Linked DNA regions of Schizosaccharomyces pombe. The protein of the gene in region 2 interacts with the protein of the main gene of each other region in a pairwise test. Each region holds a gene or a part of one and is shown on either strand. Other genes may lie near its edges. The genes, in order: sec18 and cyc2.

Region 1 (5,092 bases), 2.7 Mb from region 2:
TATCGTTTGGGTACAGTAGTGCTTTCAAGGTTTGCGAATGGACGACTATTGTTGGTATCAGGGATTTTGAGCTTGTCTAAAGTATATTGGGATAAGCGCTTTTTTCCTAGAATATTAAATGTATTTAAAGATAGCACGTTTCCCTTTAACGTTGCCTCCGAAACATAAGATTTAGCAGCCCAGTGAATTATTGCAGTCGACAAACTAGTAGTAGTACATGCTAACATGTTAATAAATTTGCTTTGGAAATTTTGGTAATCCGATTTCTTGATGAAACATACCCAAGAAAACCATCGACATTCTCGTTCCCAAACTTAAACCTCCTGCATCAAGTAAAAGCATCACTGGAGAAATCATATAAGTTAAACCTAATGATCCAATCGAAAACTTTTTAATGTTTCCTATAGCTTTTTTAAGTGGAGCATCATATACAGCTGCTAGACTAAATGATGTTGAAGCAAACCAGCGTCTTGCACCAAGTAGTATTTCGGAGGGCATATTCATTTTAGAATTAAGTATGTGAGTTGAATGTTACGATTTTTAAATTTCCATGTCCTTTACTATTTATGACTGATGAAATTAAAGATTTAGAATATGAACCGGGTCAATGTGGAGTGGAAATAGCGAATTGGTAAATTGTGCCTCTCAGTATGGGAGTAATGTAGTATGCTTAAATTGTTTACAATGCTTCAAATGATTATTTATGGATAATTGACTATAAAAGGCTATAAAGTTATATTGATAAGCATTCATTTAACAAGATGATTTAATTTTTTTAACGTTACATATAGGTTCGAACATCTTTTAACTTAATATTCATACAGTATTGCGGTGTATTCATTAACTATAATCTATAACGGTATAAAATATAAAAAACCTTGAGAAAATATTCATGACTAAAACGTCTCAGTTATTAAAAAGGTGTCATTGCTATTCCATAGGAATAGCACGGGCCATGGCTTCAACAAAACAGGAAACAACGTCTACATCCTGTTTAGCCGTTTCGGCTATCATAAGAATCTTGGCTACTCCGACATTGACAGCATCAGTACCAGTAAAGTTCTGCAAACGTTGTAATGTATCAGCTCGAACATTGCTGTCTGCAAATGAATCTATTGATTGTATGATGCGGTCCAGTTCAGTAACGTTGGAGACATTAGGAACTGCTATTTCTGCATCAAACGATTGGGTCATATCCATTCGAGAGAGCATAGTACGTTCAGAGGTAGTTGCTAAAATAAGCAATCGATGACCCTTGGGGGGTTGCTTTTTGAAAAGAACCATAAGTGTTTGAAGTAAGGTGTTAGAAAATCGAGGTCCGATTGGTACCCAATCAATAATACGTTCAATCTCATCTACTACAATGACGCTAAGAGGACTTTTGTAGCTGTCTTCGAACACACGATTGACATGAGCTACTCGAGCGTTTTCATTCATTCCTACCATGGACTCAGCGGAAACGAGCTTAACAAATGGAAATTCAGAACCAAGGGCTATCGTGGCAGCCAATGCAGTTTTCCCTGACGCTATAGGGCCTGACAATAATACACTGACCAAACGTGTACGTTCGGAGTTTTTAACTTGTTGAACAAATAATTTTCCTTCGGTAATTATTTCTTCAATGTGTTTACCAAAATTGATAATGCCACCTTGCACACGGCTTTCGAGTTCCTCCTCACTCACACCATAAGCTGGTCTTACCTCACTTAAAGCATTCAAAAAGTCGTTACGATTCACCTTGATATTTTCCAAATTACCTGAAACAGCGGCAGTGGTTCCCACCTTGATGTGGCGATAAAAAGCAAAACTTGAAGCACTCTTGATTAATCCAGCAATTTCAGCACCAGAAAAGTTTTTAGTAAGAGATGCTAGCTCTTCCATGTCAACATCATTCTCTAAAATACCATTTGAAGCCATACGGGACGTATGGATTTTCAGAATCTGCAAACGGCCGTGTTCATCTGGAAGTGAAATTTCCATATGAACCTCAAGACGACCTGGACGCAAAAGAGCTTCATCGATCATGTCTTTTCTGTTAGTCATACCAATAACAAGGATATTATTCAGTTGATCAACGCCATCCATCTTAGCCAAAAGCTGATTAACGACCTGATCGCCAACACCTGTATCACCACCAGAACTTCCTCTCTTTTTACATATGGCATCTAATTCATCGAAGATAATAATATGAAGACCCGATTCCTCTCCGCGATCGCGATACTCACGTTCAGCATCGGCGAATAATTTACGAACGTTTTCTTCACTTTGACCGACGTATTTGTTTAGAATTTCAGGACCATTAACGATTTTCGGTTCACGGGCATTTAGCATTTTACCAATTTGTCGAGCAATTAATGTCTTACCAGTACCTGGAGGGCCATATAAGAGAATACCCTTAACATGATTAATACCCAGCTTTTCAACCATGCCAGGAGGAAAGAGACGAGAGGCAAATGCTCGACGGAAAATAGCACTGAACTCTGAGTCAAGACCACCAATGCCCATGTCCTCAAATTTAAAGCCTGGCTGAAGAATGGCATTAGAGGCAGGTCTTGTCATGCTAGCTTTCAAACGCAACGCAGAGTGAGCGGCTTTAAAAAATTGGATTTCGGTCTGGGAAGTCAAGAGACCACGTTTGCTGGTATCTGCAGTATTTTCGGCATCTTGATTCTCACCAATTAAAAGATCGACACAAGATATAGTACGGACGGTTGCCTTTATATTGTAAGAACGGAAATCGAAAACAATTTTCTGGCCCGGAGAAAAAACTTGGCTCTGATAACTAGAGCAAAATAACTTGGCCATCTCTTCACCGTCGAAAGGCTCATTAGTGGTGCGATTTCTATTTTGAAAGTCTACCTCCAAAGTCATACTATGAAGATAAGGAGCTCCATGAGGACCATATGGATCATAGTCGGCAACATGAACCTGCTGATTTAGCGACCAAGAAGCCCATTCGCGATGGGGCTGGGAAGCGCCAAGACAACCCTGTGGAAAGCCAGGAACGGGTTTAGTGCTGAACACACGAGAGTTGTCTACAATAATGTACTGCTGCTTAAAGTCCATGGGAGAAACAATGATACAATTGGTTAAAGCATCTTCGGTAGAAGTCGCCTTGACGATCCGAAAAGGACCTGAAGGGCGTCTAACATCCATATGTGTAGGCAGCGGTGGTTTTTGCTCAAAGGGGCTCATATTGGGTGTAGGACCAGCACTGTTATGGGAATAACTGCCACTTAGTGGTTTCCTCATAGGTTGCTCTGGTGTCCCTTTATTGGACATGAATGGAAGTTTCCATCTTGAGTCCATTGTTGAGTGCTTTGTTAATGGAAAATCGTTTTCAGTAAACGTAACGCTTTCCACCTACTACTAAAACATAATATAACGGAGTACGAAATACAGATTAGCGAATAGTGAAGTATACGTTTACCGTTTGATTGCGTAATCATAATTAAGCCATAAATTTCCAATGTCGTTATATTTTAGGACGAGATGTAGTGAAGCCATGTTACTTCCCAATTTACATTTGGCAAAAAAATTTTTTTCTCTCTCTTCTTGCAAAAGCCTCTTTACGCGTGCAATTATTGTAGCATGCAAGTGACTATTTTTTTAGCAGCCTTCTAAGATAGGAAAACTGTTTCCAATAAGACAAACCTTCTTGCAGACTGTTGTTGTCGTTTATTGAAGGGATTTCCCCTCCCCCTTTTGTATATTTATATATTTTATTTTATTTATAAATTTATTTTATTCATTATTAAACGTATAATAACGTCAAAAAATTTTATGTGTCATGAGTGATAATGTCTTCGCTTTAAGAATCGGTAGCTTAATGACATCCGTATTGGAAAGATCTCGCTTCTTGTTTAGCTTAGCTATACGACCGCTATAGACGTTGCCGCTTGACGCTAATTGCCGAGATTCGCATCATTCTTTTGAGCTTCACTTTACTAACCGAATACGGGTGATCATCCACTCAAAATATTAAATAAATAAGAAATAAAAAAAAAGTGTTACTTAAAAAAGAGTGTGTTTGGAGGAAGTGTTAGCAAGTTTTGATAGTAGGAGTAGAAAAAAAAATTTTCAGCGCCTCGTCTCCTTAAAAAATTTACACACCTTTCTAATGAATGTTATTGAGGCAAAGTCTTGAATTTTGATTTCCATTTCATCAATGATTAGCGTACCGAGTTTTTGCTGTCGTATAAACGGCCATTGATTTGCTAATGTCACCTTTTTCACATAACGAAACGGATTTCTGTCATACTGTCACAAATTTTTCAATTGGCATGATAACGGTAAATAGACCAAAATCTAGGATTCGCGAATGTTCAAACGCGATTATTAGGGAATGGAATTTTATTCGATATCTCACCTGAGTCACTGTTATTGTCACAAGTGAAGCCAGCCATTTCTTGAATCTGATTGAGGAGAAAGTGAGGTAAGATGGGATGGAGTGTTGATGACTTGGAAGGAAGGTCCCTTACAAATGATTATTTGTTCTTTTACAGGCAAACTAGTTATCCCGAGCTACACTGTCCTAACGTTATCCGCAATTCATTCTTACAAAGCTAAGGGAAACGGGGGCAAAGACTGAGTAAGGCGGCAGCGCACTTGCAAGTTTCGCAGGTACTTTAGCTATCCCCACCTCCCCTGATGTTGGCAGTGACTCGGATATTCTAGGCCTGCTTAGAAAGTGGTCATTTTCAGATTTCAGATTCAATACGCTTGCTCTTTTTGACACATAAGTTACTTCAAGTACCAATCGTCTGGCGAATATCATATGGTATATAGAAAATCGACCTTAATTTCATAAACTTTCGGCTTTTCCCACCCTTATCGAAGCTAGCTTGTGAAGGAGCCAATTATATTGTATTTCTCTCCTGGTTCACGCCTTATGATTTATCATTTTTCTAAATTGGTAGTGTAGTTATTTAATATATTTTTTGATATATATAAGCTGGGTTGAGGAAACAAGCTTCGCTCTCAAAATTTGGTGAGCAAAGCAAAGCCAAGCCAAGCCAAGCAGAATAGAGCAGAAACGAGACGGGGCAAAAAGCAAAAGTTGCTTGGAGCATAAGTAGAAACACTTATTGGC
Region 2 (3,444 bases):
AAGCTACTAAGGAGATTGTTCCCGATGGAGAAATCATGGATTTACAGAGTATTGAAGAGGTCGCAGATGAACTCTCGGAAACAAATCCTAGATTTATCCTTGTTTCCTATCCTACCAAAACCACAGATGGTCGACTTAGTACTCCATTGTTTATGATATACTGGAGACCAAGTGCTACCCCAAATGACTTATCTATGATTTATGCTTCTGCTAAAGTCTGGTTTCAAGATGTGTCGCAGGTGCACAAAGTATTTGAAGCTAGAGATTCTGAAGATATTACTAGTGAAGCAGTTGATGAGTTTTTGCATTAATGCTTGTTTATATGCGAGTTGAAAATGAACCTTTCCCTCGTTCACATTTTATGCAATTAATTATTTAAAGATATTTTGCTTGTATGGGCTTTCTTTTTGACATACTATACCTGCTTAGCAGCAGATGCATAAACCCTCAATAACAATTAGATTTAATGGATAAAAATTTATACACTTAGAAACTTTTTAAATACTATTTTTTTTATTTTCTCTCCATTACCTAAGAAAACCGCTCCATTTCATTGATAACACGTAACGTTTAAGAGTTCCCTTATTTGTATAAATTTATTTCCAAATCGGTAAAAATAAATTATTTGAAGATAAACAAAAAAATCGTTTTTGTATTATGCACAATTGTCCAAAGATCGTGCAACCCAAAATCTTAAGCCAAAAATTTCTAAACTAAAGCTTCCAAACTTTCCCAAACGGATTGTTTGATAAAAGTCCTTTGACTTCTCCTTGTCTTGCGCCATAATCAGCCTTCGGTCCGGCAATTGTAGAAACAAACTTCTGGCTACCGCAGACAATGCAAAGGGTATCCTTTAAAGGAACTGTAACATTATCCCAATCCAAAATGTCATGAATGTTTACCAAACGATTTTGGACGGACTTCACCCTTACGTTTGGGCATTCCTTTTCCAATTCTTCTTTTAGCAAAGGGGGCTGACCAGGCCTTGAGCAGTATACAATATCGACTGGGGATTTAACAGACTGAGCTAATTGATATATAGGAGCAATTCCTGTTCCTGCAACGATAGCTACGATTCTTGGGTACTTCGTACAATCGAGTTTGGTGGTTTTAAAAGGACCCCGAAGTTCAATAGTGTCCCCTTCTTTCTTAGAATGAATATAAGAACTAACGGGACCCTCTTCATACTTTCTAATAAAGAACTTTAATTCATTGGCATCCAAGTACAAAGGGGTATATGGTCTCTGGACTTGCATACTGGGATCACGAATTGTTACCTTAGCAATCGGTTCCAAAGTAGTAAGGTGTTCAGAAGGGCTCTGAGGAACTAACGAAAACAAGCTAGCATCGGATGTAAGCTCTGTAATTTTATTAACTGTAAATGGAGCATAAATTTCGGGATTAAGTCCTGGGGGCTTATTCGAATTTTTATAAGCATAATAACCACCTGCGCAACCAATAGCAAGACCTGCAGCTAAGATTTTAGGCAATTTCCTGTAAGTCGAGCTACTCATTGTTTTCTTTGTAAGTTTTACTGTATCAAGGGGAGGTTGGAATTGCGTGTACTTATATTCATCGTTTATGAAAGCCAAATCCAATCACAGGCTTCGTAGGAAGTATCCGATATAATACCAACAAAATGTACTTTGTTAATTACACAACTCAGTACAAAACGTCTGATTATTATCTAAGGTTAATAGTTTTTTAACAAAAATAAACAAATCTTAATAAATTTTCTAATAGATATTTATGGTTCTGTTTTTGTATATTAAGTTCGTAAACCTTCCTTCTATAACAAAAAAATTTCAATAACAGTAAGCCAATAATAAAGGTAAAAAACAGAGCAAAAACAAATTTTAGTAGTTCTAAATAAGCTAGTGATTAAATATATACATCAATGCTCATCAGAACTAACTTGTGAATCATGATGAGAATTTAAACCATGAACTACTAAATAGTCTCTGTAGGCGACATATTCAGTTTCGTTATATCCTAAGATGGATGCAATTTCTTTGCTTCTCTTGCCTTTAATCAAATCTATTTCAGTACTGCTGTAATTAACAAGGGCTCTGCCAATTTCCTCTCCGTTGTAAATAACCGTAACTGCTTGGTGAGCTGAAAAATGGCCATGTACTTTGGTTACACCAACTGGTAGTAATCCTGCTCTATTTGTACGGGTTATAGCCTCGAAAGCCCCACGATCAATTTCCAAACTCCCATGTGATTTAAGGCCGTGCAAAAGCCAAAAGTGTCGATCACGGATCCTTCCTTGCTTTTTGGCTACAAAGTGGGTATGCAGAGGTAATTCAACTGACTCATTTTTATTATCAGAGGATTCCTGACGGATTATATCGAATATACTCGAAGGTTTAGAACCACGACATATTATAACATTTACGCCTGAAGACGTTCCCAAATCTGCAGCGATCAATTTCGTCTTCATTCCCCCTGTTCCAACTCCACTACCGGGTGTGGAAACGTTTGCATTTACCATTGATGTATCATGAATTTTTAAAATAGGCTTAGCGTCAGGGTTGGTACGTGGGTTGTCTGTATACAAACAATCAACATCTGTAAGTAAAAACAAATAATCTGCGTTTATCATGCCAGCTGTAATTGCCGATAAAGTATCGTTATCACCAAAACGGATTTCTTGAACAGACAGAGTATCATTTTCATTTACAATGGGAACTACCCCAAAATGTAGCAACTCGGAAATTGTGTTCGCTGCATTTACATATTGGGATCTCTAAATATTAATAGTTAGTACCCGTCAGTAATTAAAATAATTTTTTAAGTGTCAACAATAATTATCTGAATCTTACCTCGGCAATGTCGTTTCTAGTGATTAAAACTTGCGCAATAGGCTGACGAAGTTGTGTAAATAAGGTATCCCATAAGGAAATTAGTCTTCCTTGACCGACCGCGGCAATTGCTTGTACAGCAGAAAGCTTTGAAGGACGCTTAGGTAAATCTAATCTACGAAGGCCCATTGCAATACCACCACTTGAAACCAAAACGACATTATGACCCAACTTTCGAAGCTTGACAACGGTTTCAACGATTAGTGACAAATTTGAAATTAATGGTTCATGAGTCTTTTCATCACAAATTGACGATGTGCCTAAAATAATGTTAGCAAAGCGTTTGTGATGCCAACAACGAGCAAACAAAGAAATACATATTTGAAAAAGTGAGATATAAAATTCATACATATGCTTTTGTATAGCTTACTATTCCGTGCTTACCAAGTTTGATGACAATTGTGTAAGTCTTATTTGTGCTTTTCGACTTCGGAGACATTTTAAAAAAAATCTACAAAGTTACTGTTGAAATTTATTTTTTAAAAAAAGGATAAATTTTAGTGGAATACGACTTGTCTTCACCTTTACAAATCAACGGCCCATCTAGTAGTGGTAAAATAACGGAAAGCCTTATAGCCCA

The links.
Region 1: the proteins of cyc2 (region 2) and sec18 interact in a two-hybrid assay, tested with the Schizosaccharomyces pombe proteins (one large-scale study listed by BioGRID).

What each region holds. Positions count from the first base shown.
Region 1 is NC_003424.3:4,717,808-4,722,899, forward strand, and holds sec18 (secretory pathway protein Sec18), read right to left. Parts: upstream 3,329-5,092; 5' UTR 3,310-3,328; coding exon 931-3,309; 3' UTR 706-930; downstream 1-705. Other genes in the region: SPOM_SPAC1834.10C (uncharacterized protein), read right to left, coding at 1-220, 282-504; SPOM_SPAC1834.13 (uncharacterized protein), read right to left, coding at 4,541-4,777. UniProt on the Schizosaccharomyces pombe protein: Required for vesicle-mediated transport. Catalyzes the fusion of transport vesicles within the Golgi cisternae. Is also required for transport from the endoplasmic reticulum to the Golgi stack.
Region 2 is NC_003424.3:2,025,450-2,028,893, forward strand, and holds cyc2 (cytochrome c-heme-linkage protein Cyc2), read right to left. Parts: upstream 1,553-3,444; 5' UTR 1,515-1,552; coding exon 714-1,514; 3' UTR 506-713; downstream 1-505. Other genes in the region: actin regulatory protein gmf1, read left to right, coding at 1-311; pro2 (glutamate 5-kinase), read right to left, coding at 1,895-2,749, 2,826-3,124, 3,249-3,303.